4 linked regions of the Struthio camelus genome follow. The protein of the gene in region 2 interacts with the protein of the main gene of each other region in a pairwise test. Links are inferred from orthologs where the notes say so. Each region holds a gene or a part of one and is shown on either strand. Other genes may lie near its edges. The genes, in order: PPP1R16A, PPP1CB, PPP1R3B and PPP1R7.

Region 1 (7,297 bases), on a different chromosome or scaffold from region 2:
GATGGGGATGGGGATGGGGATGGGGCTGGGGATGGGATGGGGATGGGGATGGAGATGGGATGGGATGGGGATGGGGATGAGGATGGGGATGGGGCTGGGGCTGGGGCTGGGGCTGGGATGGGGCTGGGGCTGGGGCTGGGGATGGGGATGGGATGGGGATGGGGATAGGATGGGGCTGGGGATGGGGATGGGGCTGGGATGGGGCTGGGGATGGGGCTGGGGATGGGATGGGGCTGGGGATCGGATGGGGATGGGGATGGGGATGGGGATGGAGATGGGATGGGATGGGGATGGGGATGAGGATGGGGATGGGGCTGGGGATGGGGCTGGGATGGGGCTGGGGATGGGGCTGGGATGGGGCTGGGATGGGGCTGGGATGGGGATGGGGCTGGGGCTGGGGATGGGGATGGGGATGGGGATGGGGCTGGGGATGGGGATGGGGATGGGATGGGGATGGGGCTGGGGCTGGGGATGGGGCTGGGGATGGGGCTGGGGATGGGGATGGGATGGGGATGGGGCTGGGGATGGGGATGGGGCTGGGGATGGGATGGGGCTGGGGATGGGGCTGGGGATGGGGATGGGATGGGGATGGGGCTGGGGATGGGGATGGGGATGGGGATGGGGCTGGGGATGGGGCTGGGAATGGGGATGGGGATGGGGATGGGGATGGGGATGGGGATCGGATGGGGATGGGGATGGGGATGGGGATGGGGATGGGGATGGGGATGGGATGGGGATGAGGATGGGATGGGGATGGGGATGGGGATGGAGATGAGATGGGGCTGGGGATGGGATGGGGATGGGGATGGGGATGGGATGGGGATGGGGATGGGGATTGGGCTGGGGCTGGGATGGGGATGGGCTGGGGCTGGGGATGGGGATGGGATGGGGATGGGCTGGGGCTGGGGATGGGGCTGGGGATGGGGATGGGATGGGGATGGGGATGGGGCTGGGGATGGGGATGGGGCTGGGGATGGGGATGGGATGGGGATGGGATGGGGATGGGGATGGGGCTGGGGCTGGGGATGGGATGGGGCTGGGATGGGGATGGGGCTGGGGCTGGGGCTGGGGATGGGGCTGGGGATGGGGATGGGATGGGGATGGGGATGGGGCTGGGGCTGGGGATGGGATGGGGATGGGATGGGGATGGGGATGGGGATGGGGCTGGGGATGGGGCTGGGGATGGGGATGGGATGGGGCTGGGGATGGGGATGGGGCTGGGATGGGGATGGGGCTGGGGATGGGGATGGGCTGGGGCTGGGATGGGGCTGGGGATGGGGCTGGGGCTGGGATGGGGATGGGGATGGGATGGGGATGGGGATGAGGATGGGGATGGGGATGGGATGGGGATGGGGATGGGGATGGGATGGGGATGGGGATGGGGATGGGGCTGGGGATGGGATGGGGCTGGGATGGGGATGGGGCTGGGGCTGGGGCTGGGGATGGGGATGGGATGGGGCTGGGGATGGGGATGGGGATGGGATGGGGCTGGGGATGGGGATGGGGCTGGGATGGGGATGGGGATGGGATGGGGCTGGGGCTGGGGCTGGGGCTGGGGCTGGGATGGGGATGGGGCTGGGGATGGGGATGGGCTGGGGCTGGGATGGGGCTGGGGATGGGGCTGGGGATGGGATGGGGATGGGGATGGGATGGGGATGGGGATGAGGATGGGGATGGGGATGGGATGGGGATGGGGATGGGGATGGGGCTGGGGATGAGATGGGGATGGGGATGGGGATGGGGATGGGGATGGGATGGGGCTGGGGATGGGCTGGGGATGGGATGGGGATGGGGATGGGATGGGGCTGGGGATGAGATGGGGATGGGGATGGGGATGGGGATGGGATGGGATGGGATGGGATGGGATGGGATGGGGATGGGGGTGGGGGTGGGGATGGGATGGGGATGGGGATGGGGATGGGGACGGGGATGGGGATGGGGATGGGGATGAGGATGGGGCTGGGGATGGGGATGGGATGGGATGGGGCTGGGATGGGGCTGGGGCTGGGGATGGGGCTGGGGCTGGGGATGGGATGGGGCTGGGATGGGATGGGGCTGGGGCTGGGGATGGGATGGGGATGGGGCTGGGGATGGGGATGGGATGGGGCTGGGGATGGGGATGGGATGGGGCTGGGGCTGGGGCTGGGATGGGGATGGGGATGGGATGGGGCTGGGGATGGGATGGGGCTGGGGCTGGGATGGGGATGGGGATGGGATGGGGCTGGGGCTGGGGATGGGGATGGGGCTGGGATGGGGATGGGGATGGGGCTGGGGATGGGGATGGGGATGGGGCTGGGGATGGGGATGGGGATGGGGACGGGGATGGGGATGGGATGGGGCTGGGGATGGGGATGGGATGGGGATGGGGATGGGGATGGGGATGGGGACGGGGATGGGGATGGGATGGGGACGGGAATGGGGCTGGGGATGGGGCTGGGGCTGGGGCTGGGGATGGGGATGGGATGGGGCTGGGATGGGGATGGGGCTGGGGCTGGGGCTGGGGATGGGGATGGGGATGGGGATGGGATGGGGCTGGGGATGGGGATGGGGCTGGGATGGGGATGGGGATGGGGATGGGGATGGGGATGGGGATGGGGCTGGGATGGGGATGGGGATGGGATGGGATGGGGCTGGGCTGGGGCTGGGGCTGGGGCTGGGGCTGGGCTGGGGATGGGGCTGGGGATGGGGATGGGATGGGGCTGGGGATGGGGATGGGATGGGGATGGGATGGGGCTGGGGCTGGGGCTGGGGCTAGGGCTGGGATGGGGATGGGGCTGGGGATGGGGATGGGGCTGGGGCTGGGATGGGGCTGGGGATGGGGCTGGGGAAGGAAGGGGCTGGAGCTGGACGGGGCGGCCCGGCTGTGGCAGGGTGGGATCGAGCCCTGCACGGGGGGCCCTCACCGGCATGCTGTGCGGGGGCTGCACCCACAGGCACCCAGTGGGACCCATGGCAGGGACTGGGAGCCACTGGGAGCACTGGGACCCACGGCCATGACTGGGACCCACTGGGAGCCACTGGGACCCGCAGCCAAGGCTGGGACTCACTGGGAGCACTGGGACCCACGCTGGGGGCTGGGACCCACTGGGAGCACCCGCTGTGACCCCCTGGGTCCCCCCGGGACCCCAGAGCTCTGCAAGGGGTGCCGACCTCCACCGACCCCAGAGCGAAGGGGACTGTGACCCCTGACCCCAGGGTGGGGGGTCGTGACCTCCTGGGACCTCATGACCCCAGGGTGGGGCAGTGACCCCACATGACCCTGTGACCCCAGGGCCAGAGGCTGTGATCCCCCCATGACCCCAGGGCAGGGGCCCCCATGACCCTGGGACCCTTTGACCCCAGGGTGGGGCCATGATCCCTGGGCCCCCATGAGCCCTGGTGACCCCAGGGCAGGGGGCCGTGACCCCATGACCCCAGGGTGGGGCCATGACCCCTGTGACCCCAGGACAGTGGGCAGTGACCTCATGACCTCAAGGTGGGGATGTGACCCCAGGGCAGGGGGCCGTGACCCCATGACCCCAGGGGGGCTATGACCCCCATGACCTGAGGGCAGTGGGCAGTGACCCCATGACCCCGGGGGGGCCATGACCCCTGTGACCCCATGGCAGGGGGCCGTGACCCCATGACCCCAGGGCAGTGGGTCATGACACCCATGACCCCAGGGCAGGGGGCTGTGACCCCATGACCCCTAGTTTGGGCTGTGACCCCAGGGCAGGCGGCGGTGACCCCGTGACCCCAGGGCAGAGGGTCGTGCCCCCCCCCGCCGGCCAGCAGGGGGCGCTCGCTCCGCGGCGGCCTCTCCCTCGCTCGCTCCCAGCATGCCCCGGGCTCCCCTCTCGTTCCCTTCCCGTCGCCATGTTGAGTGTGGCAGCTCGCTCCGCCTGGCGGGGTGGCGCCCAGCCACGCTCCGCATGGCGGCTCAGCGGGGGGGGGGGGGCGCCCCCTCCCTTCCCGCCGGAGCCCCGCCCCTTCCGGCCTGGACCGGAAGTGTGGCCGGTTGCCATGGCGAGCGGCGGCGGCGCGCGCGGGCCCCGCCCCGAGCAGGGAACGACACCGGGCAGGGCGGCGGCGGCGGCGGCGGCGGCAGGTAGGGCCGCGGCGGGGGGGGGGGCAGCCCCCGGGCTGGGCCAGGGACGGGGAGGGGGGACCGGGGCCGCCTCCGTGGGGCGTCTAGGGGCGGCCCTGGGCTTGGGGGGGGGCTCCCTTCCCCCCCCCATCCGTGGGGCGTTTGGGCCCTCACAGGGTGTGGGGGTCCCCCCCTCCCCCGGCTGTGGGATGCTCCCTCCCCAGGGGGTGTGGGGGGGGCTTTCCCCCGGGTAGTGGGGGGGATCCCCTCATCTGTGGGGCGTTTGGGCCCTCACAGGGTGTGGGGGTCTCCCCCCTCCCCCGGCTGTGGGGGACATTCCCTGCCCCCTGTGCTGCATTTGGGGACAAGGGATGTGGGGGGAGGGTGCTGAGGTGTTTGGGGGGGCCTTTCTGCTGGGCTCTGGGGGGGGATCCCCCCCCAGGGGGCATTTGGTGCCCCCCCCCCGGCATATGGGGCTTGGCTCCTGCGGGATATGGGGCGGATATGGGCGGGATCTCCCCATGGGGCATTTGGTGGCCCCCCTGGGATGTCGGGGTTGACCCCCCCAGGATGCAGGGGGATTCCCCTCATAGGGCCTTCGGTGGTCCCCCCCCCCCGGGATGTGGGGATCCTCCTCCTCGGGATGTGGGGGGTCCCCCCCCATGGGGCAGCCCACATGAGCTGTGGAGGGCCCCCCTCCCTCCCTCGGGGTGTATTTTGGGACATCCCTGGTGCGATGGCCTGGGGGCTCCCAGGGAGGGCTGAATCCCCCATGGGGGTGCGTGGCGAGTGGGGCAGGATCACCGGGAGGGTGATGTGGATGAGCCCCCAAGCCCGTGGCGGGGGGCTGAGTCCCTCCGTGGGGCAGGGGGAAGCCTTCGGGGCCGGGCGGGCTGTGCTGTGTGCCGGGGGAGCCTGGGGGCTCTCCTGGCCGCTGGCTGTGGGGCGGCCAGTGGTTCCTTAGGGGGCCTTTGGGGGTGTCAGAGCAGTTGGGGGCTGCCTAAATCTCCGTGGAGCCGCTCGGAGCACTCGTGGGTTGGGTATTCCTCCGGGAGAGGAGCTCGGAGGGACTTGAGCTGGGCGAGAAAACACTTGGAAACAGCGGGGAAGGTGGTCTTCCCCGACCCGCCTCCTGGAGCCGGGCGTTAGGTGCCGCTTCGGGCTGGTGTCCGGGTGGGACGGAGAGCCGCTGCGTGAAGCCACTGGCCGGCGCGGCCTTGCCCCCGCCAGCCGGCCGCGCAGGAGGCGCGCGGGCGGGCTGGATGCCTCGGCAGGTATTTAAAAAACCTGTAAGAACCTGTTTTCCTAGAGCCTCCCTGGGCGTGAGCTGCCAGCGCAGGGGCCTCGCCTGCCCTAGGTGAGGACGAGGACGCCTGAGACCGGCTTCCCCTGCCCATCCCACGCCACCCGCCTTTCCCCGCCGAGCCTCGCTTTTAAGGTAGTTGCCTTAGGTCGCTTGAGCCCTGGCTGGCCTCGGCTGGGGGCCCTCCGTCCTCGCGCGGGCAGCGCTGCTCCCGCGGGACGCTCGGGGCGGCCGCTGCGGCGAAACACCGAGCTCATCGGTCCGGGTCAGCGCGTTGCTCCGTTTCTACCCCTGGGGAATCGATGCTGGTTATGTGAAGAGCAATAAATAAAAGATGAGCGCTTTTTTTCTTAAAAGCGTACACGGTCGGAAAGAAATTTGAAAGTGTAATGTCCGGCGTTACCGCCTGCGTTTGCTGGTGTCCATTAACGCCGTTTAGCGAGGAAGCTGCTCTGTGCATGTGAGCCATCCACCCATTTTAATGAGCGTGAGGATGCTGCTCCTTCGGTTGTCTCCAGAATAGGAAATGGCGGGGAATCTTTAACTTCTTCAGGCCTGTCCCTTTGTGCTTCGGCTAGTTTCAAATGTCAAACTCTTTGTGCTTTAGCTAGTTTCAAATGTCAAATTTTTTGATGATTTACTTTTCTTGTATGCCTAGTTCGTTTTGGCAGTTCTGTTTTGCATAATTCATTCTCTTGGGTTCTTTTTGTGCGTTTTAACTTCCAGCTAAACGTAGCTTGATGTGAATAAAAAATATCATTCCCTGTTTAAACGATTAAAAATCAGAAGCGTCTGAAAAGAGCGTATGTTAAGCCCTGTGATACGACATAGGTAATGGGCAGCACTGATACGAACCAGCGCTGAAAGGGCCGTGTTAAAACTTGGTGGTTAACCCATAGTAGTACCGTAGATTTAACTCGGATTTCGGCTGGGGCTCCCCGTAGCCGGTATCGTGGAGCTGCTGCGGCTGCCTCCCAGGAAGCGTCCGAAAAGCTCTAAGTAAGCAAATGTGGGATAATCTGCACCCTTTGAAGGTCTCGTCCTAATCTCTGCAGCCAGAGATTAGTTTGAACCTTGAAGCTGGCGGTTTCGTGTCCTGCCGTTAACTGCTGCCGCGCTGGACGCCGGCGGGAGCGAAGGCTGCCCAGCTCCTGGCGTCCCGCTGGCTGCGGGGCCCCTCCTCGGGGAGGGCGCGCCGCGGCCGGCCGCGGAGCCCGGCGGGCGCTTTTAATCGGTTTGCGTTCGCTGCTGGCTGCTCTGAAGGTCCCCTTCCGGCGCGAGGAGCCGGAGCGAGCTGGAGCTTCTCGTTTCGGGGGGCCGAGGAGGGGGATTGCCTTCCTCCCGCTTGCAGGCAGGCGGGAGCTCTGGCTGGCCGCTGCCCCGCTCTGCCTCCGGCTCCGGAGTTGCCCTCACCTCTCCGTGTACCGCGGTTTGTGCTCCTGCCGTTCGCAGCTGGGCTCCGACTCCTCTTACTGATCCCATTAATTGGTTAATGTCTGGAAAGCGCATTTGAAGGTGGAAAGTACAATGTAAGTGCTAAGCACTGCTAAGTATTACGATGCTAATGGGATTCGTGCGCGCCTACGGAGGAGTCTGGCGGCCCGGTGAAACCAATCGCTCTAAAGAAATGCGTTAAAGATCAGCGTGGCGGCCTGCCGCCTTCGGGAAACCACTCGTGTTTCTCGAGCGAGGCCTCAGCCACGCGAGGGCTGGCGGTGGAGCGGAGCGCTCCCCGTGCCGGCAGCGCCCGTGGCGGTGCCGCTCGGTCGGCTCCGGAGCGGCGCCGCTTTCCAGCGCGCGTGCTGCCGTGGCCGAGAGCCTTGCGGCGAGTGCTCCTTCTCCGAGGAATCGCTGAACCAGATCTGCTCCGTCTTTGACGAGCTGCGTTTGCTGCCGGGGAGGATTACGTGCTGGCCCGCGGCTCTGTC
Region 2 (7,386 bases):
ATGCATGATGAGTCTCTTGGACTATGGCTCAACTGAGTCTCTCTGAAAATCGTCCCCAGTTTAAACTCCAGTGTTAATGAATGTGGCTTCCAGCACCTGAATGATCTCTTCTAAAATAAGAGCACATTTAGGATAAGCAAGTATTCACATGTATTGAGGGTTAGGAAGATGTTTCCAATGAGTTCTCCCAAGCAGCCTGGTTATAGGCCTCCTCATATTGATAACAAGAAAGAAAGAAAGAAAAAAGAAGAAAGAAGAAAGTACATGCACCCATGGACGGTAAGATGATCCAAGTATGTAATTCTGATCAAAAGGCAAGTTAATGCGTCATATAACCTGAAATGCAAGTGGTCTTGAGCAATAAGGGTAAAAAACAGTTAGAGTAACCTAATTAAGTAAGAGCAAGGACTCATGACAGCTAGTATCACAGCCTAGAAACAGGTGTCCCCAACCAGCAACTCAAGGGCATTAAGGAAGCTTCCTGTCACTGCGGCTTTTGATATGCGTTTGCTACCCTTTGAAGTTTACAAGCAGCAGCAACTGAGAGACAATTGTAGACTGTTGTTTAAAGTCATCCATTTAACATTAAAAGAAGGACTAAATATATTGCATCCCAACATTTCATGAAAATGTATTTTGAATATATTAACGTGCACCTGTATACAGCTCAAAAGCTGCAATTCCTCACTATTTAAGCCAAAGCTGAAGTGAGGGGGAAAGCAGTCAAAAACTTATTTTAAATTAATTGCTCCAGAGCAAGGGTTGATAGAAATTTTTCCAGGTTGTTGGGGGGGGGGGGGAGGAGGGGGAGGGGTGCATACACTGACAGGAGCTTATACTCACTTTACCACAATAAGCCAGCTAAGCAACACCATGAACTCCAGAATGCTAGCCATCCAATTGTACAAAAAACTTCCCTGTGAAGACTAACATTTGGACCACAGCTTAAGCTATAATACACCAGCAGCACAGGAAATAAAAGATGTCAAATGCAAGCAAAGCAAATTCATATATAGTGTATGTATTCTTTTAATAGTTTCTCAAATACAACCTAGAAGAATCTATTCCCTTTCTGAGGCGATGAGATGTTGTAAGAGGCACTCCTATTAGTAGGTGACAAGCAGAGAAGACACATGTCCTGCTTTCCTTAAAAATCTTCCTAATCTCTGCTCAGAGAGAGAGAAACAGACTGAGAAACAGAGACACAGAATTATAAAGAAAGCTTGCTTAAAGCTATGTATGTGCAACTTCTGAAAGATTAAAGTAGTACAGAATAAAAAGTGCAGATTAGGTACTCTGTCATAGCTCAAAAATGTTAGAGATACAGCAACATAAAGCATTTATAGCATGTATGAAAAGCCAGGAATAAGTATTTCCAAACTCTTGCATTAAAAATAAATAAAGCAAGCAGTGTAGCATTTAAGATAACAGACAGTAGCCCAATACAAGTTGCATCCCGAAACACTGGAGAACTACCTATTCTTCAAGCAGTCTATATTTAAATAGCTACACAGATGAGCAAAGAGAAAAAGAGAGGGAACAGTACCCTTCAAAGATTTTTCAAATCTCCTTCTTTTTATAAGGACATACAGATATACGTACACATTTTGAAAGCCTGGGAAAAAAAGTATTAGGAACGCAGTATTTCCTAGGTTACTATGTGGTTTGTCTTGAAAAACTACCTTCATTACTAAGCTGGGTTTCAGGGTCCAGAAAAGTGAGGTTTATCAGTATCAGTGAACAGAGACACACTTTGCTAACTGATGATACCTGCAGGTGTTCTTTGCATTATACTACACTGCATATCTTTCTTAAAGTACAAACATGAGCACAACTGGCCAGAGCCTTATGTATTTTTAAAATACTGATTGTTAATCGTTTAAGTCAATTAGCAGTTTCACTTATAAAAAACATACGATTACCAAAAAGCCACAAAAACTCTGCAGTAACTCAGTTAAACAAAACATTCAGACTTTTTCCTCTCCCAGAACTGCATATGCTTCTTAAACTACTTTCTGAAAGCCTTCTGCTAAGTGATCCGAATATTCAAACACAGCAACCAAATAAGTGGATAATCGTCTCCACCATACTAGGTATTTGTCGAACACGGAATGGAAGACTAACGTGAGGAGAGGTCTGAGACCAGATACTCGAGACATCATTTACACAGAGGAAAAACGTTAGGAATAATTCCTCAGCTTCTCCATAAACTGGAAGGCAGCTAGTTTTCTCCTTATTTTAAAGGAAAGCATGACTGTTTAACACACACACAAAACCCCTCGTAGCTACTAGTCTTGTAAGAGACTAGACTCAGAGCTATCCAGGCACCCGAGAGCAACCTCTGGAGACTGGCCCATAGGCAGGCAGGCAGAGTAACACTCAATCCCTCTGCTTCCCCCGACACCCACACACACGCAACTCCACACCTAATCTTGCTTAGGCATATAATTTTACGCACGGAGGACTAGGAGTATCCTCGCTGAGGAAGGAAAGGAAAAGGCCGCCAACGAGGCTGCCCTAGCTCCCCCCTCACCGGGGCGGCTGCCGCGTGGGAAGAGCGCTTGCAAAGCTTTTTAAAAAATAAAAATAAAAGAAAACAAGAAAGAAAGAAAAGAAAAGAAAAGCCGCCACTTCACCTAGAGCGGGGAGGGCTCCCCCCTCACCCCAGCGCGCCGAGGATGCTTAAAACCCTCTTCCTCCCCTCCCCTCCGAGGGCCCCGAGCCTGGCCCGGCCGCGCCGAGCCCGCTCTCCGCCGCCCCCCGGGGCCGGGTGCGGGGGAGGCGCTGCCGCTGCCCCCGCCGCGGGGCCGCCCCGCCCGCTCCCCCCGCCCCGCGGGCAAGCGGCGGCAGCGGCTCCCCCTGGTGGCGCCGCCACCCGCGCCCCGCGGAGGGCGCAGGCCCGGCGGGCGCCCCGCTCACCTTCCAGCAGGCGGGTGATGAGGCTGTCCACGTTCAGCTCCCCGTCCGCCATTTTGTGGCCACCAGGCTCGGTCCCAGGCGGGGAGAGGGAGGAGCGGAGGGCGCTTCACAGAGGAGGAGCGGGGCGCGCGGGCGGCGGCGAAGACAAGTGGCTTCCCCCCCCCCTCCTCCTCCTCCGACGGTCCCCTGGGGCCGCCCGGCTTCTCCCGCGCTGGCACCCGAAAGCGCCGCTCCCGCTCCCTCAGCGCTAAATGGGGGGGGAAGCGCCTACCCCTCCTCCCCGCGCCTCCTCCCCGCCTCTGAGGCCGCCAGGGCGCATGCGCCTCCTCACCCCTCCCGCCGCCCCGCGCGCCAGCCACCGCGCAGGCGCAGAACGGGCGCGCGGGGGGGGGGTCGGCCAGTGCGCACGCGCGTAGCGTCACAGTCCCTCCCCCCCCTCTCCCCGCCTGCCCGTGGGTTTCCTAGTAACCGGCGGGCGCGCGCCGTGGCCGTTGAGGGTCGGTTGCCGGCCGGCTGCGGTGAAGCAGTGCCCGAGGGTGCGCACGGGCAGACGCGGTCCTCCTCCACCGCTGTCTGGGCTGCCCAGCAGCCCAAGGCAGGCCTCGCCGACCTGCTCCCCCTGGCTCTCGGTCGGCCGCCGTCCGTCCCGTGCAAAGAGCAGGGCGGGGTGGCCTTTCCTGTCAGGGTGCCGGCAGCAGGCCGCCCTGTGGGGGTTAGCCAGCCTCGCCGGCTGCCTCCCAACTGGGTATCCGCTCCGAAGATGTTCTAACGGCTGTAGGGATATTTGGTGCTCCTTGTGATGCCCCACCTCCCCGTGACATGTTACTGCAGGAGAATGTGCTTTACTTTATGCGGAGGTTATGTTTCCAGGCATCAATTACAGGGAGGGAGGAAAAGAAAAAAGCCAAGAAAATGAGTCCTAGTGGGCTGCGTGTAACCTGTGTATCACCCCTTCTGCTGCTGAAACTGCGCCTGTGAAAGCTCACAGTTTATTTTTAAAGAAGTCCATCAGAACTGGAATGATAAGTTGTGCTCTTTGTAGCCACGTTTTAACACAGTTGTCAGGAAGAATCTCCTAACTAATACGGTTTATATTTCATTGTGGCTGGAACTGCTAAAAGTACTTTTTTTTTTTTCTGAAAGAGCATTTCTGAATGATTTCTGAAACCTTTTTTTTTTTTTTTAAGAGGAGTGCTCAAGAGCATGTTAGAGTGCATGCTCTTGTCAATAGATGCTTGCCTAGATGGACAGAATCTAAAAAACAGTTGATGAAAGCTGCTTGTGAACTGGAACAGCAGATTGAAATGTATGCATGCTGACAAAATATAGCCAGCCATCCCTTTTGCCAAAGACATTGCAGATGTTCTAGAAAAATCAGGCCACTTATTTATCTGCCTAAATATAGATGTTGATATAGAAACATCTATCTGAGCTCAAATTCGAATTTTTCCATTGACCTATACAAGCCAGCAAAATCCTCTCAGCTAAAATAATTTCAAAACCTAGTTTTTACTTCATGATTAGGACAAGATGTATATGAGCAAAATGTAAGTAATTAGGACAAGGCGAGACAATGATTAGGCGTCAGATGATGCTAGGTGGCCAGACAGTCCGGTAGTAGAATGCTCTTTTGAAATACATAGGCAATAATAAAGTTTTGCTGGATACATTGAAGGAAGAGGAAGAACCTCTGGAAAAAAAAAAAAGAAAGATGTTGCATCCCCATTTGTAGGTAGCATCTATGAAAATGTAATTCCAGCTCATCTGCTGAAACTATATTCTTTTTTATTTTTCAATTTTTCCCAGTAGTGAAAATCTAAATAATGCTTTAAATCTTTCCTTCATTTTTTTGTCAAACTAAGAAAAGTAATTATTCAGCTTTACAAGGGTATTCTTGATATTAGCTATTTTATTGCTGCCAAATTTAATAGATAGGCAGTCCCTCTTGAGTTTTTAAGAATTGTCCCAATTTCATTTCACATAACCAAAACTGCCCTGAAAGTTATTTTAAGCCAACACAAATTCAGGTATAATAATATTATATAGTCATAGAACATTCTGCATTGACAACAGAATGAGAATATGCAATGATCTTTCACTATGGCATAAAGATACAATTTCTTTGTCTCCAAAAACTCCAGAAGATATTAAACTTCGAGATATGTTGAGCAAAACATAATCCCATAATAACTGTTTTTACTAAGCATGTCAGCATGTTCCAGAAACAACTCGGTGGCATATCATAATATCAAAATAATTTAATAAGCAGAGATGCTGTGGAACAGAACACACTGCACAAGGGTTGAAAAAAATAGCTTATTTTTTCCTTTCTGGATTCTGTACCAGTCTCTTAGTTAATTTTACCCTATCACATCATGCCCTTGCGTTCTTGAGGGACTCTGGTAAATACATTAAGTTTGGTTTTCTACTCTATTTCACTGCTTTTCAGTTTTCTCCATATTCTGGAGTGAATGAGGCGTGGCATTATGCTGGGTCATAGGATGAGGAGAGATTGCTCACGCTACTCAAGATACTGGAGGAATGAAACTTCAGGACTCCGTTCAGTTCCTGCCACTGCTGGATCTCAGCTCTCATACCCCGCCAAGGCTTCTTTCCTTCTCCAGTAACTCATGGAATAGGAGCTTTGCTGGATCACAGAGTTCTTCCCCTGCTGTATTTGGATCATGAAAAGGGAGGGTGGCCACCACACTGTGCTGCGTAACTCTGTGTAGTCTGCCCCAACGTGCTTCGGAGCTTGAGCAGGGAAAGGAGTATGAGAGTCTCTTAGCGAATAAAACTCGACAGACCTTGCGTTCTATAATGACATAATTCCATTACAACAAATAGAATTAAAAGATCAGAGAATGAGGCCTGTTTTCTCCTGTGATTCAGAAAGAAATATTTAATGTGGACTGAATGCATTTTCTTTGATCAAGCAGAAATGTTAAGTAATTTTTGACATAATAGCATACACAGATACAGACCAAAGATATCTAAGTGGTGATTTAAGTAGCAGGAGAAGCTTGAACGTTGCTGATGCCTTTGGCAAACTCTCCTAAATAATGCTCATCTTTCTAAACTTCCTTTCAGTTATTTTGAAATTTCCTCTTGTGTCCACAAACATGGCTTTGCTTCTAACTTTCCCCCGCTCAGTCTCAGTGCCATTTACCCTAAATACCCTGTGTGTCAACTCTCCTCTCCTTACCCACCTGCTGTCTTGAGGTGTGCTTTAATTTGCAGTGGCGTTCTGTAGCATTTTCAAGACTTGAAGGACAGAGATTTCCAAAGGTGGTAAAAAATTGTATGTTAGTGTCATTCTCAAAAATGGGGCTCTCAGAACGAGTTCTCACTTGCTCTGCTATCAAGGCTGTTGCATCCTCAACTACAGAACACGGTTTCAGTATCTCTGATGTTATCTGCTCTTTCCTAGTAACCTTACATTGCTTCAGCCGGTATGTCCCATTACTAATGGCACCGACTACATGCTCTTTTAAGTTACTTGCTGTGCCATTGTAACTGCGTTTTTCAAAAATCATGGCCCCAGCTACATTGCCCTCCTAGCTCTGTCATGAATTATCTTACAGAAAACACACAGCAGCACTTTACAGCGTTATTCAAGCACTATGGCTTGCTTCTAAACTGTTGTATCACTTTTGCTGAGTGTATCTTAGGGCTGACTACAGCTTTTACGCAGATGGGAGGAGGAAGCAGGGAGAAGCAATATGGCCTGTGGTTAGTTTTCCGGCATGTAATTAGGAGCATGTTCTCACTGGGCAGTGGTAGCTGGAGCAGTGCTTCCTTCTCAGTCTCTGTGTTTGTCCAGTAACCAAGCCACTGCAAGCGGATTTTGAGCACCTAGCTCAGTTTCCCACTTGATTTAGTAATCAGAATCAGCAAAAAAGCTGTGTACTTCCTTAGGACAATTTATGTACACAATGTTCACGGACGTTTCTTTGGACAGAAATGGTAAGAAACTGCATCAAGGTAATCTCAGAATATGCAAAGACTGCAGATGAATTATCACTATTTTCTTCCAAAAGTTTAGATTCAGAGACAAGTGCAGAAAACCAATCAGATTCTGCTCTTTAGCATTCTGTGTCTCTTTTTTCTTGCTCAGTATTTGCACTAAAGCTGGGTAGATAATAGGTTTCTTTATATATTCAGAAAGCTTTTTAAAAAAATATTACTGCTCCAGACTGAGCTGAAACAGAGATTTTATCAAGTTTCCTGAGAAATTAGAGAGGAAGGAAAACAAACCCAAAATAACCAGTGGTTTGAATTTGCAGGCAGTTACCTAGGATGTGAGAAACTCTTCTCTGAACTGTTGCATCCTAGGCAGGTCTCCCGTTATCCCTTTTTGAACTGCCACACTTGGTATAAATAGCTCAATACCTGTTGGAGCGAGGACCTGAGTTTGGATCTGTTATGCATCAGATGCATGCCGTAATCATTCAGCTATAGTGCTGA
Region 3 (8,230 bases), on a different chromosome or scaffold from region 2:
AGTCTTGCTATTCAGCTGGATACAGGGCCGCAGCGGTTTAATTGGCTTTGGAGCAATTTTGCAGGCACGCTTCTCTCTTCGCAAAGGTGAAGGGCACAGGTACAGCTGCATTGCTATATCCACAGCCATTGCTTGTTTGTGAGGAAAGTAGTCTAAAACTCTGAAAGATAAGAAGCGTCAGTTTATGTTAGAGGAACCTTTTATGAACCTGACTTGTCAGACCACTGCTACTCTGCTTCCTCCCCTCCCTCCTCAGAGCTTAGCTTCCATCATCCACCCCCAAGTCCCTAAAGCGTCATTAAAGGCAAGTACTTATATGGTATGATGGACAGACATGTTCAGAAGTGTACTACAGCAGAAGAGGCTGAAGCAGAGCTTCTTGTGTCCTTCAAGCACAGGATCACCTCCAATTGCAGCTGGGCCAAAGCAACCATTTGAAACAAACCCTGCCAGGCTAGCAATAGCAGCCTGTGGAGCTTTTTTGACCCAAAGCAAAAGCCATGGCTGTGTCAGGTTTTGTGGTCAGCAGCAGGACAGGGATCATCACAGACTCCAGTGCGACCTAATGCAGTATTTCTGCTGTAGCTTCCTCCCTCCAGCAGAGACTCTCCCCACTGCACCAGACGATTTTGTAGGAACAGGAACCCATTTCATCACAAGCTGCTGTGTGCAACTGACCTCACCTTTCACCGAACCCTGAGCAGCAAGCTTTTTCAGAGGGAAAAAAAGCAGATACACCATGCACATTTGTCAGGTTGAACTACAGGTCAGCTGAGACAGTCCAGCAAGTTTTTTACCTCCAGTGCAGAGCTTGTTCCTCAAACCTCTGCAGCACTTGTGCCAAGCCTCTGGGAGATGTTGGCACAGCCACAGGGCTCAGTCAAGCACACCTACTCAAGGCTTACTGAGGCTTTGAAAAATAAGTACTTCCTCCAGAAGGCTCAGGCTGTGTGGTCCTCCACCACAGCCTTTCCTTCTCTAGGATCTGGCCCATACTTGGAGGGATGCAGCAGTCTCCTCTCTGGAGGAGCTTCCACTTGGCATTATTGCCTAGAGCTGCATCTGCAGGCAAACAGTTCTTAACACATCTCACTTGTCATTCCTTCCCTTACATTGAAGCTAGATTGGACATTCTTGGAAGAATTGATTTGGCCTGGCTCCAGATAAGCTCCAGGACACAGATTTATTGCATCCCTCTTCATAATCAGCTGGGGCACACCTGACCTTCAGCTCAGAGTATTCTCTGAATAAAAATTCCCTGCTTGACTGCAGATCATGCTCCAAACCTGCTCCCACTGCATGATCCACTGTGAGCCAGCAGCAGTAGTAGCAGTCCGCTGACCACATGATACACCAGTGCTCAAGCTGCCAAAATACTCCTGGCCAGCTCCAATACAGGACTGCAGTCCCCATGCCAAGAAAAAGCAGAACAACACTCCTCCGATTCAGCCCTTTAGCTCCCCACCCTGCAATGCCAACAGAGCAGCTCTGAGGGGTCTTTCACAGCATCCATTCAGCAAGGGCATCTGCTTATTCAGAGTACACATGCCAAGGCCTGCTCCTCAACACACCCACCGCCTAGCTGCTTCTGGGCAGCCACATCAGATGGACAGCAGACCCACCTGTCTGCTAACACCATTCTGCTCAGCTCTACCTGGTTTCACCAAGTTTTTATTCATACATGCTTTAAATAAGTCACTTCCTCCTTTAAAATAAGGCAGCCTCTTATCTAGGTCAGCTTCTCCATTAGTCTCATCTTTTCCCAGCAGAAGTTATTTAACTGAATTCCCATAGCTGCAAAAAAACCCAACTTTTCTTAGTAAGCCTCAGATATTCCTGATTTTTTTTTTTAAAAATGAAGAGGCATGCAATATCCAGCCCAATTTGCATTACTTAGTCCTTAGTGTGGCAAAAGGTCCACAGTAGAGCTTTTCTTACCCACTATTAAATTGAGCAGCCCACTCCACAAACTGGCTGCAGTTTCCAGCTCGTGTTATGCTCCAGACCTCACTTTCAGCTCTTGATTTGAGGTTCAGCCAAATCCCCAACTCACAATCATACAGAGAACAGTCCCCCTTTCACAGCTAATATCAGCCATAACTCCAGATAGTTTGATGGTGAGAGCAGAAAACATAAGTTTTAAGAGCTCACATGGCAAAGCGAGTTCAGGAAGAGGAGGAAGCAAGGCAGGGGGGAAGAGAGGCAGCCCTTTGCAGTTATGGAGACAGCTTCCTTTTTCCTCCTCTAAAAAAGGAGGGAGGAGACTAGACTTTGCTGTTTGTACCCAAAAACCTCTTCTGGCAGTTTCATCCTCTCCAGGAAGAGACATCCCTGCTCATGCTTCCCTCCATTTTCAAAAAGGAGCTCAGAGCAAGGGAATTTTTCACATTCACAATTATCAAAAGCCTCAGATTGCAGAGGCAATCTGCACCTTTCAGCACCACTTTTATGTAGGCTCCTTCTGCTACCCTTCACTGACAGCTTGACATGCAGCAGCCCTCAGACCAGCTGCAGGAAGTTTTTAGAGGTTATATGCTGCCATTCTGTTTTTCAGCCCTCCATCACTCCTGGTTGGGAAAAAGGCCAAGCTGTTCCTACAGTCCAGCCCTGTCCTTACAGGCAAGTATCTGAAGTCCAGGCAATGCATGTTAACCCTGCTATAGCCAGTCTCCTCCACCCACATGCACAAAGCACAGCTCTTCAGGCCTCTCCTATGCAGCTGAAACCAGATGAGAGAGCCAGAAACAACCAGGTTTCTCCTCTCTTGGAGGAAGCTGGCACAGAGCCTGGCACAAGCCACAGATCCTCCACCAGCACCTTGCCTCACAGGAAGCAGAGGCAGGAGGCCTAACAAATTCATCACTGCCCCAGGGCTACCCCTCACAGCAGCTGTGGTCCACCAGGCCCAAACAGCCAGGCTTGGGAGGGGGAGGAACTGATGTAAGAAATCAAGGGGGCACCCCAGAAGCCAAATCCAAGGCCAGAGCAAACCCCATAGGGCCTCCACAACTGAGACCTGTGAATATCATCACCACAGTGATGAGGCCAGGGCAGAAAGAGAGCTAGGACAGACCCACTGCCCAGGTACCTCAGGCACTCGCTGGGGAGCAGGGCAGACACCGGATGAAACCCCCCCCCCCAACATGCACGACCCCCCCGGCCGTACCTTGTGCAGTGCATGAGATCCCCACTGCCGGCCCGACCCGCTGCCCGCGCCGCTCCCGGACCCGGCGCCTTAAAAGCGCCCGGCCGCGCCGCGCCTCCTCCCCGCACCGCCCGCCCGCGCGCCGCAGCCAATGAGCGCACTCCGAACGCGGCGGGCGGGCCAATGGGCGGGCGGTGCGGCGGGTGAGGGGGGGGGCACCCGCGTCCCCCCCCCCCACCCCGCGGCAACCGCGGGCGCTTACGGAGGGCAAAAAAAGGGGGGAGGGTGTGCATTTATTCTGGGCACTTGCGGCACCCCTGGGTGCTGAGAGCCTGCTCCGCCCTGGCTGGGTTTAATCTGCCCGTGGGCTCATCCAGGCTCCTTGGCTTGGGATCACGATGCAGCCTTGAGGCTTGCAACACCCCCCCCCCCCAAAAAAAAAAAAAAAAAAAACTAGGCGACCCTCCCGTACGTGGAAGGGGGGAACCTCCTATTTCAGCCCCCTCTGTCTGAGTTTGTCCCGTCAGGAGGTACAAGCTCTGTTTTGGGCCTCGGACGCTTGCTTGGAAGCACGGAGAAGCTTAGAAGGACTGAGCTTGGTGGAGGATGCATACAGGCAGATAAGAAGGGCTACAGGATTTTTATTTTTATTTTTATTTTTATTTATTTTATTTTATTTTTTTTTTTTTTTTACTTTTTTGCTTGTGGCAGGAAAGCCTTTTTTGGGCACTGATCTTCTTGACTGGGCTGGCTCAGGATGTTTCGGCGCTCGGGTTTACTCGCACGTCCACATCTTGTGACTGCAGCGCCAGCCAGCAGGTCTACGCTGACGCTGGGTGGGTGGGGAAGCACCTCGATGTGGAAATCTCGAGGGGATACTTCGACACACTCTTTCCTGGCACCGTTTATGGTGTGAGACGGAAAAAAACGACTTCCTCGCAGAAATGACTTTCGTTAGGAAAAAAAACACCTGCGGGACCCGACAGGCGCAGAGGCCAAGGCGAAGGGAGTATCCGTCCTGGCTTGTGCGAGGGGCTGGGAAGGCGTTTCTGACACTCCGGGGGTGTCCATTAGGCAAGCTGCTGCTCTGGCATGGACCCCTGCTCGCATTGCAAGAGGCCAGCCAGGTTAGGGAGTCTCCGTGGCTGCCCTCCTGCCACGGGTCAGCCTCTCTGCCCCCCGAGACTGCTCCCGAGTCCGCTCCAGCGCGGAGTCCCACGTCTCCAGCGATCTCCTGCCACGTGCGTGCAGGGAAGTGGCTTTGGGAGCGAGAACTGGCGCCGCGGGCAAGCAGCAGAGGCTGTAACACCTGCCGGGAGGTGGGGACGGTGCCTTCTTCCCGTGGCAACGTCAGGGGATAATAGCGTTTGCTTCTCTTTTGCTGCATCTGGCCTCTAAGTGCGCAGCTGTGAGCAATGCTCTCTCTCCCCTCCCCTTACAGAGCATAAAAGCAGGGATGAAGCGTTGATGTTTGCTTGCAAGCAACTTGTGGGAGCACACACAGAGCTGTTGTTAAACCTGGAGACTCCCTGCTGTATGCTGTAATTTCGTAAGCTTATCACTCTGTGGGGCGGAAGGATTTCACTGAGGGAAGACGAGCATTGTTTTAGCCTTAGAAGCTCCCATTCTTAGACAAAGGAGATTGCAAGGAGATTTAGAGAAGTTGGGGAGAGAGAGAGCTGAGAGATGTATCCACTACAGCAGCCTTGCAGGCTTACGGCAATGTTTTGCCTGCCCCGATAGGGTGGTATTTCAGCATGTGCTATTTAGCGAAAGGTTTTCAGCAGGGCTAGGAGGAACTGTGGTCGGATTCGCCCCAGGAGCTATAGAGAGAGCCATGTACGGCTGTCAGGCTCATGGGCCCTCTCCACTGCTTCCCTGGCCTCCTCTAGGCAGGGTCGCCCCGACCTGGGCTTGGCATTGCAGGTTTGGCCTGTCAGACAGGGCCAAGTGGAAGTGGTAAGTTTAATGAGATGGCCCTAAAAACAGGGAGGCCCCAGCCTAGCTTGTGCCTGTTGCTCTGCTCCATCACAGGTTTCTTGTGACACGCTTGTGTGACAGCTGTCTGAGACCACAGAGATGCTGAGGGAGATACTGGCTGGCCTTGGAGCTGTGAAAATTTTGGTAATCTGGCTGTGTGAACTAAGAAGCTAATACATGCAAGGTGGCTTAGGGTCTATTTCTGCTCTCTGATTAAGGCCCTGTTTGCCGTGGCCAGGGCAGGGTGTTTCACAACTGCTGCCTGGTATTTGCCCCCAAAGCAAAGGTAGGTAGAAATCGGTGCGGGGCGTTGTGGCGGGCTGTGGACACAGGCTGTTATCTTTCGGGAGCTGAGATAAGGGCTATATTTAGCTCTGTGCTTGGCCCTTGCGCGTGGGGGGGCTCAATGGCTTCCACACACACCTTTCCACCCTTCCTACTGTGTCAGGGATGGGGCAGAGCTGGACTGGCTACGGGGAAGCCCAGCGGGCTCAAGTAGGTCCTTGGGGACCCTTTTGGGCTTTGCCGCCACAAGGGTTTGGCAGCTCCCCCCCACCCCACCCCAGGGGGAGAGGGCTGGCGAGAAAGGGCAGCGGGGCCCGGCGGGTTGTGTAATGCCGCCGCGCTGCGGCGGGGCCAAGGCTCAAGGGCGAGTGTTGTAAACCTGTGGGATGGGATGGGTCTCCATCCCCAGGGACAGCAGCAAAGAGGCTGCGCTCCTCGTGCTCTGACCTGTTGCAATGGTGAGGCTCGCCAGTGGTTTCCAAACTGGCCGTACTGAGAAGCTGCTGCTGCCTTTGAGCCAGGCCCTGGTGTTTACCTCAAGCAGAGGAGGGGTTTTCTTTTTTTTTTTTTTTTTTTTAAAAAGTCCATTTGCCTGTGACAAGGCCGTGAGGGCAATGCTGAAGTAATTTTCACCAGGTGTTGCCTCATGTCAAAATGCTGAAGGGGAGACTAATTTTGGAGTCTTTTTTGTCATTGGGAACACGTGATCCAGGAGGAAAGCCTGCCCAAAATAGTAAAGACTATTTTGGGCAGCGCTGAGGCATGGCAGGAGAGTTGGGGCCAGTGCGGGGCCCTGGGAGCAGTGGTGGGCGGCCGTGGGTCTTACTGGCCTCCAGAAAGGACATGTCAGCAGCTTAGTTGTGTATCTGTCCGGCTGCCAGTCCTGCCTCATCCCTACCTCAGGTCTGATGGGCATCACCTGGTAGCTCCTGTGCACAGCTCCCATAGGGTCACAGCAAACCCTGCTCCACCAAGGAGAAGTCCTGCAAAGTCCCGCTGGGTGAGGGGAACCCTCTCTTTTATTGCCACAGGGTGCAAACTCCTGCAGCTGCCTCAGGAAATTAGGCAGCAAGCGTTCAACATCTGACAGCGTCAAAGGAAATCCTGCTCTGGGTCTCCTGACTGTGTGGCGCCGTGAGGCAGTGGCCCCATCACCGCTTCTGGCTTCGTCCAGAGACGAGGAGCTACTGCAGCGCACTGGCAGGGAGCCCGAGGGAGGAGATTTACCTTGGCATGGCTCCCTTTGGATCTCATGTGGGCAGAGATGGTCAAGCACCCTGAGGAACGTGTACTCTGCCCTACTTAAGGCTGTGGCACCTTCCGCTCCAGCACAGAGAAGACAATGCGGGGGCCAGACACAAAAGCTGGCCTGGGGCTGTGTGCTGCAGAAAACACCAGGCGGTTTAAAACTGTTGCCTCTTAATAATGAATAGGCCCAGCAACAGAGACCGTGAAAGTCCTTGCAAAATGGGTGGCTATGGGGGAGGGAATGAGTGCAGCGAAGTTACAAATGAGTCCTAAGGGAAGCTGCTCCCCACAAGGAAAAAGGGAGTGAAGAGTGACGAAATGATTGGCAGGCAGGAACAACAAAGAGGGAAGTCCTTGGCCAAGCACACAAGGAGATAGTCAAAGATGTTACGGTGATGCAAAGGTGAGGTCCTGTATGCGGGGTACCAAGGTTAAAACAACCTCTTCTTCAAAAGCTGGGAACCTAAAAGTAGGTGAGTCGCTCCAAGGAGAGAAGGGGGGGCCTCCTGCTCTCTGAAGGTCTACAATGTTCTCTCCAGAGAGCTGCTCCATGACCTTGCTTTCATGCTGTCTACAGGTTTCCTTGCCATTAGTGAAGCCCTGGGAAAATCATCGCAAAAGCAAGGAGGTTGGTTGTCTGCCCCAAGGTTGCACTAATCAATGCAACAATGGTGTACCTGTCCTTACAGGGATTTTTCTTGAGAACATCCCTTTCTCCCCTAGTGAACATGGGGATGGAGACCTATGGACTATGCTTTGGTTGATGCAAAGAAACACGGTGACTTGCCATCTCCTGTGCTGTTTGTTTGCAACCTGGAGTTACCTGGCTGTGTCAATGTGATGTGCAAAACCTGTCTGTAAGTTGTACATGCCCTCCTACATGAAGGCAACGAGCAGCATAGAGACACAGCCTCTTGAAGGCAAAAGCTTGGACTAGAATCTAAAATCCTCAAAATTCACTGTATGCCCTTGTAGCAGAGGGACAGCAAGGTCTCTGGTGGAACGATGAGGGAGATTAAATTATTTTAATAATTATTTCCGTTGATACAGTAATGTGATTGCAGAGAGAGAAGAGAGGCTCTGTTCCTCAGGCAGGCTAAATCTGTCCAGATGCATTGACTCCAGCATCGCTTGGCTTGTTTACACCACCCGAGTGTCTGGCTTGCTGGACTTGGATCTACCCTCGATGCACAACTCATGGTGAAGCAATGTATGTTTTAACTGTGGTGCCCTAGAAAGACTGCAAACCTTATTTGATGGGGAAGATATCTTGGGAACTTGCATGTAGCCAGACTTGGGGACTCTGAGGGCAAATTCTTGCGTGACAGACTGCACTTTGCTTGCAAGTCACTTCTTGTATGCTGACAAAGGCTGAGAGAGGAGGTCAGACTGAGTGATGCATGTAGTTCTTGGTAATACATACAGTCCTAAACTCTCTTCAAGGGTTCATGCCTCTCAGATAGGGCTCTTTCAGTATCTAGGCTCTCTCTACTGCAAACGGAATGGTCAGTCCCTCCCTGAAACGTTTAGTCTCATCCTAACATCAACGTCAGTAAAAGATGGGCTCACTTG
Region 4 (7,853 bases), on a different chromosome or scaffold from region 2:
TTCCTCTCAAATCAGATGCTTACTTATCTTATAACCTGCAGTGTTCATATAAAGCCTTTTATCATTTTTGTGTGATCTTGACAGAATGGGTTTATGAATTACACAGTGACTCCATGACAGCCAATAAAATATTTGGAATTGCTATAGTTTAGAGTCTGTGTCTTTACCAACCATTTAATTTTAATTCTGGATTTCACTTACTCAGGCTTGGATTTTTCTTCCCAAACCCAACTGAAGGCTCAGGAAGATCAAGCTTTGAGATGCTGACAACCTGAGTACAAAAATAACACACCAGGAAGAACAGGAGCTCATTTTCCAAATATTTTCTAGTGACAGCTCACAATACCAGCAAAAGAAAGAAATTTTTAGAGGCTTCTCATGCAGTTCTCTTATAAATAACCCCCATAGAGGCAAAACATCAGTTCTGCTCTTCTGCATCTAAGATGTTTTGTCACAGCCATTTCATGGTATTTGACTGATGTGCACAATGCAATTTAAGATAATTTAAAAGATATTCCAAGAGACCCAAGACAACTGGGAACTTTTCAGTAATAAATTTTTCTATGCTAAGCAATCCATATAGTTTTTGGCTTGTTTGTTTTGTTTTTCAAATCTAGTGTCCTTCAAGCATTTATTTGATCACTTCATCATGACTATACATGTTTGACAGCTAGAAAGATCTCACGGGTGCCTACCAAAACCATCTTTTACCCTTTGAGTGCCCGTATCTGCACAAGTAAACAGTCCTACAAATTACTTAATTGCCAAATGCCCATAAAGTTACCTATATCAGGAAATAATATTGAAAACGTCACAAAAAAAAAAACCCTCAAAAAACAAAAAACCCAAACCCCTCAAACTGGAAAAGATGTGTATGGTGGGGAATATTTGCTGGAACATTTCACATACCACAGTTCCTGAAACCACTGATGTACATCCATCAGCTTCTATGTACTCCTCACCTACAGCTTCCACAACATCTTGACTGGATTTTGATATCAAGTGGGACAGCTTTTGACCAATGAGTTCCTGACTACTGCATCCAAGCAGCTTGCAGGCTTTGTCATTGGCCACTAGAATCTACAAAAGCAGAAAGGAAAAAGAAAAAAAAAGGAAAAAAAAAACACAGAAGAGCTGTAAGTTTCTTTAAAGCAACAGCATGATGATCTGTTAATGTCTTATAATATCACTTCCTCTCTCAGTGGAAACGGAGAAGCCCTTTTTAATTCTGAAATCTTACTACTCAACTCACTAAAACTTCTTGTTCTAGGACAACCCTCACCCAAGCCTCTTCTTTGTTAAGAAGGTGTGAGACATGGCTTTCCTTTTAAGCTTCTGGCTTTATAACTGCCTATCCCCTCCAGCCTCTTGTGCTGTTTAAATAATTATATCCACAGAGGCAAAACCACAGAGCTGCACTTTCAAGGAAAATCTGGGCTGGCCACAGAATATTATCGAGCCCTGAAGATGTGCAAAAACCACAGCAATTGACAGCCTTAAGCCTATTTACAGACCAAGTCACAATTAAGTGTCTAGCCCCTCTCTCTTTATGATGGGGAGGTCTGAACTGTTAGTTCAAGCTAAAAAGGAAACAATGCTTTACAGTTTTCAGTACTCAGTTTCATACTAACGTTTACTCTCAGGACAAAAACAGAGAAATTCTCTCTCCCAGTGCAAAAGGCATATGTACTGGGGCAGACAGAGACCTCATGTCACCATGAGCCCATCCCAGTGAAGGTTCTTCCTTGTCATAAGGCTCGAAACATTTTCTGCTTTTCTGTTCTTCCCTCATGCCACATCACAACTGCTTTCTTCTTTATTCTCTTTTTCTGTTTGAAAAAAGACTCAAGACATCAGTGCTTCTGATATTGTCCTGTATACTTTACCGACTACAACCTACAATGGAAATACATGCATTGTCCGTCTTTGTAGAATCACTGAGCTTGAGCAGACTATCAAAAAGCTTCATAATTTGGACACTGCCTACAAACACAGGAATAACAAGCTTTTGAGCCTACATGATGTCACACAACCTATACTAGGTACGCATTGCTTTGTTTAGCGGTTCGTACTGCAACAGATACGGCAAGTACCTCTGTTGTGTTGACATCCACCGTGAAGACGGCTTTGTTCGGATTGCGTGCAGTAGTTACAAGGTGTTGGCTGGATTCCTCCACAGTAAGGGCATGCAAAAAGGAACAAGAAGCAGGACTACCAATGGAACTGGAGAGAGAGGCAGAATCCCACCGAGCCCAAGAGTTACCAATTTTGCTGGAACAAATGTTATGAGCCGCCAGCGAAGACAAACAATAAGAGCTCCATTTCTCTCCTGTGAGAAGATAAAGATCGGCTATGTAGCTCTAGCAGTCTACTACAGGAGTAGTTACAGGAATAAATAAAAAAACTGTTTGTCAGCTGAAATAGCTGTCAAGTAATTTCAACTCAAAACATACGCTTCCTAGAAATTACAAAATACCAAAATCAATTAAACTAAAGATAACAGAAACAATTCTAATAAACATGTCTTTGTAAGTCACAGGAACAATTAAACTCAGTTCACGGGCTAGAAAACATTGCCAACATGCATAAAATTCAACCAGACTAGTCAACTTTCCTTTCGCTTAAGATAACAGAGTTAAAGGATAGGTTTTGAATTCTCTCAAGTTAAAATTAAAACTGTTATTAAATATAATTACTGTAAGCGTTCAAGCCCTCTTTAAATACTGAGTTAGTCAGAAGCCAGTAAATTAACTACTCACAAGAGCTGACACTGAAATACCTATGCCCACACCAATGTTTTATGTTATGCAGTGCCAAGAGATTGTACTAAAATTTTCAGAAGTTCTGCCTGTAGAAAGCGTTTCTTCAGGTAGTGGCATCGGCAACAAACTCTGCGCCCAAAGGGGCAAATAGCTTTCAAAGGCAAGCTGTGCTGGAGGACGCGGTATGAACAAGTCGTTACAAGGACACCTCTGCATTTATGCACTGCATGCAGCATGGATATGCTGACCATGATAAAACAGAGACATCCATATCTGGACAGGCTTGAAACTGAAAAGTTCTCCTCCTCCTCAACAGGTTCTACTGTAATATCGTCTTCCTCCCTATTTGGCAATTTTTTCATTTTTTAGAACATAATATTTAGAACACCAAGTATCTTGCAAGCCCAGGACAGCCTGGTCCAGTGGCAGCCAATAAAGGTTGCCCAGGCAGGAGTACCAATACAAAGCAAGCATACTACGACACGTCCTCCCAGAACTCTCCCAGCCTGAATAAGAGCTTTTTAATAGCTGCTTATTGCTATCATCTCTAGCTTTTTTTTTTTTTTTTTGGGGGGGGAGGGAGAAAGAAGAGCTGAAAACATCTGAAAGAATAATCATCGTCTTCATTGACAACACGCAAACTCATTCACATGCGTTTCATGTGCTCACCGGAGAGAGAGGCTCTGCGCCGGCAGAGTTCAGAAAGCTGACTTCTCCTGCTCTTGCTGGCCCAGGGGTAGGATCTACTTAGCTTATCAGAATCGCTCAAGTGATGAAGGGCTAAGCCTGCTGACGAAGGCAAAAAGCCCTCTTCAGCGGAGCTATCTGCCTCGGCTGCCATAGTCAAAGCCTGGTTGCCATATCGCGCGCCTAGAAAACCTCCACCTGTAACAGAAGCGTAACAAATTCAGTCAGGCCCGCGGTCAGGCAATAGCGCTCACAGCATTGGCAGAACAGGCCTTCTAGTCCAAAGCACAGCCCTGCAAGCTGTGGCAAGACTGCCGCTAACTAGCTTTTGCCCGGCCAGGTGGGACTTGTGGTCTGTGCTGCCAGCATCACCTATGGCACAACAGGACTTCGCCAGCGCGCTTCCAGAAGAGCGACCGAAGCCCCCGGCCACCACTCGCTCCCCGTTTCTGCTCATTTTCAGAGCAGAAGCAGGTTATTCGTGCAGTAACTCTCGACGTTGATTCAGCCACCGCCGCACGGCCTCCCTCCCGCCCAGGGCGGGCGGTCCCCGCACCGGCCACCCTCCCCAGCCCGCCCGCGGCGGGCAGCCCGGGCCAGCCCAGCCCCCCGCAGTCCTCCCTCGGCCCCTGCACGGGGCAGCCCCGGCCCGGCCGAACCGGCCCGGCCCGGACGCGCCGCCCCTCAGAGAGTTACCACAGAGCCGCGGGCGCGAGCAAACAAGGGGCGGGACTCTCCGGCCGCGCTGCCCAATAAGCAAAGGCGGTGGGCGAGCGGCACGCGGGGTAACCAATCAGGCGCCGAGGCGCGGGGCGGCGGGCCGCTCGAACGGGCAAAGCCGTCCCCGGCGGCCGCGCGCTGCCGTTGCCAAGGAGGCCCCGGCCGGGCCGGGGCGGCAGCGGCGGGAGGCGCGTTGACAGAGCGCTGCGGAATGGGCAGCGCCCTCCGGACTCTCTGTCCCTCGCCGCAGCCCTCTTCGCGCCCCTGCGATGCCTGGATGCCTGCCCGCGGGCAGCCCCGAGCCGGGCCGCGCCGGGCTGCCCGCTCTCGCGGCCTGGGAGGAGGTGTGTGGGGGAGCCGAGGACGACCAGCCCTCTGCAAGGGCCAGGGTTCCCTAGCGGCACGAAAAAGCCGGAAACAGCTCGTAACGCCCGAGGGGCTGCTGGTGGGCTGGGAACCGCCCCCCGCCCCCGCAGTAATGCCAGGCGGCTTCCTCCTTTTCCTCACAGGGTACTACAACTCCCAGGAGGCAGCGGGGCTCGGGCTCGCACGCATGCGCGGGAGCTGACAGGCGGCCCGGGCCCCGCCCCTCCCCTTACGGCGCACCACCTGCAGTGGTGATTGGCTGTGGCCCTTCGCCGGCGGCGGGCTCTGATTGGCGGCGGCGGCCGTTGCGACGGTTTCCGGAAGGGGGCGGGGGCGGGGGCGGGGGCGGGGGCGGGGGAGGGGGGGGAGGAGAAGCAACATGGCGGCGGAGAGCGGAGAGGGACCGCAGGAGATGATGGAGGGTGAGAGCCCGCCGGGGGCCGGCACGGCCGCGGCCGCTGCGGGGCCGGGGCGGGCCGCGACTCAGCCGTTGCCGCTCGGCGGGGCGGCTGCCGGGCGCGGGCGGAGCGGCTGCCGGGTCCTCCGAGGTGTGGGAGACTCCGATGTTTGTCCCCCCGGGGGCGGCTGCCGGCCGGGGCCGGGGCGTCGGGGGCCTCTGGGCCGTGCTGCGCCGCCCAGGGTGGGGCTGCTATTTGGGGCACAGCGTGATGCCCCCCCCCCCCGCCCCGGGGGGCTGCAGGCGCGGGAGGTGGCAGAAGTGGGTGTGTGGAGGTGAGCGTGACCTAAAAAAAGAAAACCCGACGATAATACCAAGCGGCGCCCTGGCATGGCGTTGCTTCCCCTCGGCCACCCCGTGAGGGGAGTGTACGTGTTGAGGGGTGCCTGTGCGCTGCCCAGGACGAAGGACCTCGGCTCCCCGGGGCCAGGGCGGCCGCCGGAGTTGCGGCTGGGGAAACGATGGAGCGATCACGCTGGGGAGATGGTTACTTTATCTGCTGGGATTGGCTTTTTCTTTTTTTTTTTTTTTTTTTTGTGAAGCTTTTACTACTTCACGTCTTTGTTACTGTTTTACAAGATACTGATTTTTTTTTTTCCTAAAAGCTTTTACAATGTAATAATTATAATTCCATCTCCGTAATCTTTGGATCTGCACTCCTTTGATCTAAGAAATCTCCTTTTTCCTCCAGTCTTCTTCCCAGATTGTTGGTTTTAGGAAGATCTGAAGGGAGGAAAAAGTGCATCCAAAATCAAACTAGAAACAAGGGGTAAGAGGCCTTTTATTTAAGACTAAACCTTTAATTTAGTTAACTTAGGATTTCTACTAACTGCATAGTGGTGTATGTGAGTCCTGGTTATTATATTTGTTTGCTACTTCTCTGCCCCGCTCACGAAAGTAGCCTAAATCTGCTGTTATGTATTTTGTGCAGTTGATAAGCGGATTGAATCGGAGGAGTCGGGAGATGAAGAAGGGAAGAAGCAAGCAGCTTGCTTAGTAACAGACCTCAGTCAGCAGAGCCTGAAAGAGGAGCAGAATGGTGAGAACTGCACAGGTACCCAGCCAATCTAATTGATCACCCTAGGAGGGATCTTCTTACTTACAGCAGTATCTGTGCATCGATCCTTTCTCTTTTCCATGGCTATATGTGGTAATGTTATTAACCTCATGATTTTTTCTTAGAGCTCTTTTGAGAAAATTAGTGGTAAGGTAGTCATTGGTAGAACAGAGCTGCCTCTTTTTTATGGAACCATTGGCATTAGATTTTGGGGATTTTTTTTTTCCTATTATTATTTTTTATTTACCCGTGTGTGAAACCACGCTTCTCTTTGAAATCTTTAAGATCGAAGTATGAAACATCTTTACTAATACCTATCTTGTGGTAAAGTAGTAGCAACTTCCTATAGAAAGATGCTGCAAGTGTTCATTAGAAATGAATAGAAACAGCTCTTTATATCTCTGCTTTAGTGTTATGTAGTTTTTTTACTTTTAAATTGCTGGATTTGTTTGGAAGGCAAAGGAGACTATTTCTAGATAGATCGAAGGAAGCTTTCAATTCTTTTGTTTAGTTTTTTTAGACATTTACAAATTATAAGATGTATCAAAATACTTGTATCTGAATGTTTGAATCCTCTTGATTTGGAACTCCTGCTACTGTTTTTACTGTTTACACTAGTATAGCGCGGTAGAAATTCTGACAGGCTTTTTTTAAGCTTGTGTGTGTTTGATAGAAAGACTTATTTTTCAGTAACTTGCTTAAACTCTATCAGAGCAAATCCATCTCTGAAGACCCCAGCTGGCAACATTATGTGAACTTCTGGTGCTGGTTGGTGGGTGTTGGAGTAAAAAGAGTTAAATCTCTAATAGATCTAGAGCTAGAACGCCCTGATAATTTGAGATGTAATAGCGTCCTTCTGATGGACGCGTTCGAGTAACTATTGGCCTGGAAATAAAAGTGAAACAATATAGCAATTTTTTCCGCTGTGTTTTGATCCTTTTTGGCTGTTGCTCTTTTACAAATCCCTCTTAACCTTGTCCCTTAGAGTTTGCAAAAATAGTTTCTAAAGTAGTAAATTACTGTGAGAATTTGAACTCTCATTTCCTAATTAAATGATCTCTATTTCTAGGTATAATTCACTGTTAACATATAGTTTTCTGTGATTAATTGCGAAATGGTGTGATGTTGTCTATGAAAGTGAAGGAGCACATCTTGGGAATTGTAGAGCGCAAGCACTGTACGGCCAGCAAAACAAGCAGATCAGTCGTTCATTGTTTTCCTTTGCACGCATGTAGCATAATGAGCGTTCATTCAGCTAACGTAATTTAGCTGCATGTTCAAAGTTATATTTTGTATGTTGTTTCCTCTGGGAATTATAATATGAAAATATGCCATTTGAAGTCTTTCCTTTAATTACAGTTTAAAGCAGGAAGGTAATTCAGATTTGGTGGATGGATTATATTGGGACTATTTTATTTAATGACTGTATTGTCATTTCTTCTTCTTCTGAGCTGGTAGGATTCAGCAAACTTCAACTAGAACAGAGACCAAGCAGAGGAAATAACTTTGGAACGTTTGAGTTAGTTTCGGTAGGCAGCTGTTGAGTTGCCCAGGTGAAGGACAACGAACAGTTTTCCATGCTTTCCACAGAAGAACATAAATAGAGAGAACTCAAGCAGCTGAAACTTCACATTTTTCATTCAGCTAATTTTTCTGAAGAATAGCAGCTCTGTTTAGGAAGCTTATAGCTTAGATATTTATAACATTTTTCATGCATTTGCAGTTAAAAAGTGCAGTTAGACTCTTAATTAATACTTGTGGTACTGTGGAATTACGTAACTCTGTAACTACTGTTCTGTATTGC

What was found.
Region 1: the proteins of PPP1CB (region 2) and PPP1R16A interact in binary tests that used the Homo sapiens proteins (3 or more experiments, as listed by UniProt). The two-hybrid records come from large-scale screens. The link is inferred for Struthio camelus from reciprocal best matches to the Homo sapiens genes PPP1CB and PPP1R16A.
Region 3: the proteins of PPP1CB (region 2) and PPP1R3B interact in a two-hybrid assay, tested with the Homo sapiens proteins (2 studies listed by BioGRID and IntAct). The link is inferred for Struthio camelus from reciprocal best matches to the Homo sapiens genes PPP1CB and PPP1R3B.
Region 4: the proteins of PPP1CB (region 2) and PPP1R7 interact in binary tests that used the Homo sapiens proteins (3 or more experiments, as listed by UniProt). The link is inferred for Struthio camelus from reciprocal best matches to the Homo sapiens genes PPP1CB and PPP1R7.

The regions. Positions count from the first base shown.
Region 1 is NC_090943.1:172,443,319-172,450,615, reverse strand, and holds the start of PPP1R16A (protein phosphatase 1 regulatory subunit 16A), read left to right. Parts: upstream 1-4,063; 5' UTR 4,064-4,087; intron 4,088-7,297. UniProt on the Homo sapiens protein: Inhibits protein phosphatase 1 activity toward phosphorylase, myosin light chain and myosin substrates.
Region 2 is NC_090944.1:108,070,751-108,078,136, reverse strand, and holds the start of PPP1CB (serine/threonine-protein phosphatase PP1-beta catalytic subunit), read right to left. Parts: upstream 3,272-7,386; 5' UTR 2,972-3,271; coding exon 2,920-2,971; intron 1-2,919. UniProt on the Homo sapiens protein: Protein phosphatase that associates with over 200 regulatory proteins to form highly specific holoenzymes which dephosphorylate hundreds of biological targets.
Region 3 is NC_090945.1:3,001,823-3,010,052, reverse strand, and holds the start of PPP1R3B (protein phosphatase 1 regulatory subunit 3B), read right to left. Parts: upstream 3,264-8,230; 5' UTR 3,181-3,263; coding exon 3,167-3,180; intron 2,620-3,166; exon of another isoform or gene 169-2,619; intron 161-168; coding exon 1-160. UniProt on the Homo sapiens protein: Acts as a glycogen-targeting subunit for phosphatase PP1. Facilitates interaction of the PP1 with enzymes of the glycogen metabolism and regulates its activity.
Region 4 is NC_090950.1:3,846,223-3,854,075, reverse strand, and holds the start of PPP1R7 (protein phosphatase 1 regulatory subunit 7), read left to right. Parts: upstream 1-4,850; 5' UTR 4,851-4,914; coding exon 4,915-4,957; intron 4,958-5,683; exon of another isoform or gene 5,684-5,761; intron 5,762-5,923; coding exon 5,924-6,046; intron 6,047-7,853. Other genes in the region: PASK (PAS domain-containing serine/threonine-protein kinase), read right to left, coding at 910-1,080, 2,094-2,329, 3,432-3,647, 3,822-3,906. UniProt on the Homo sapiens protein: Regulatory subunit of protein phosphatase 1.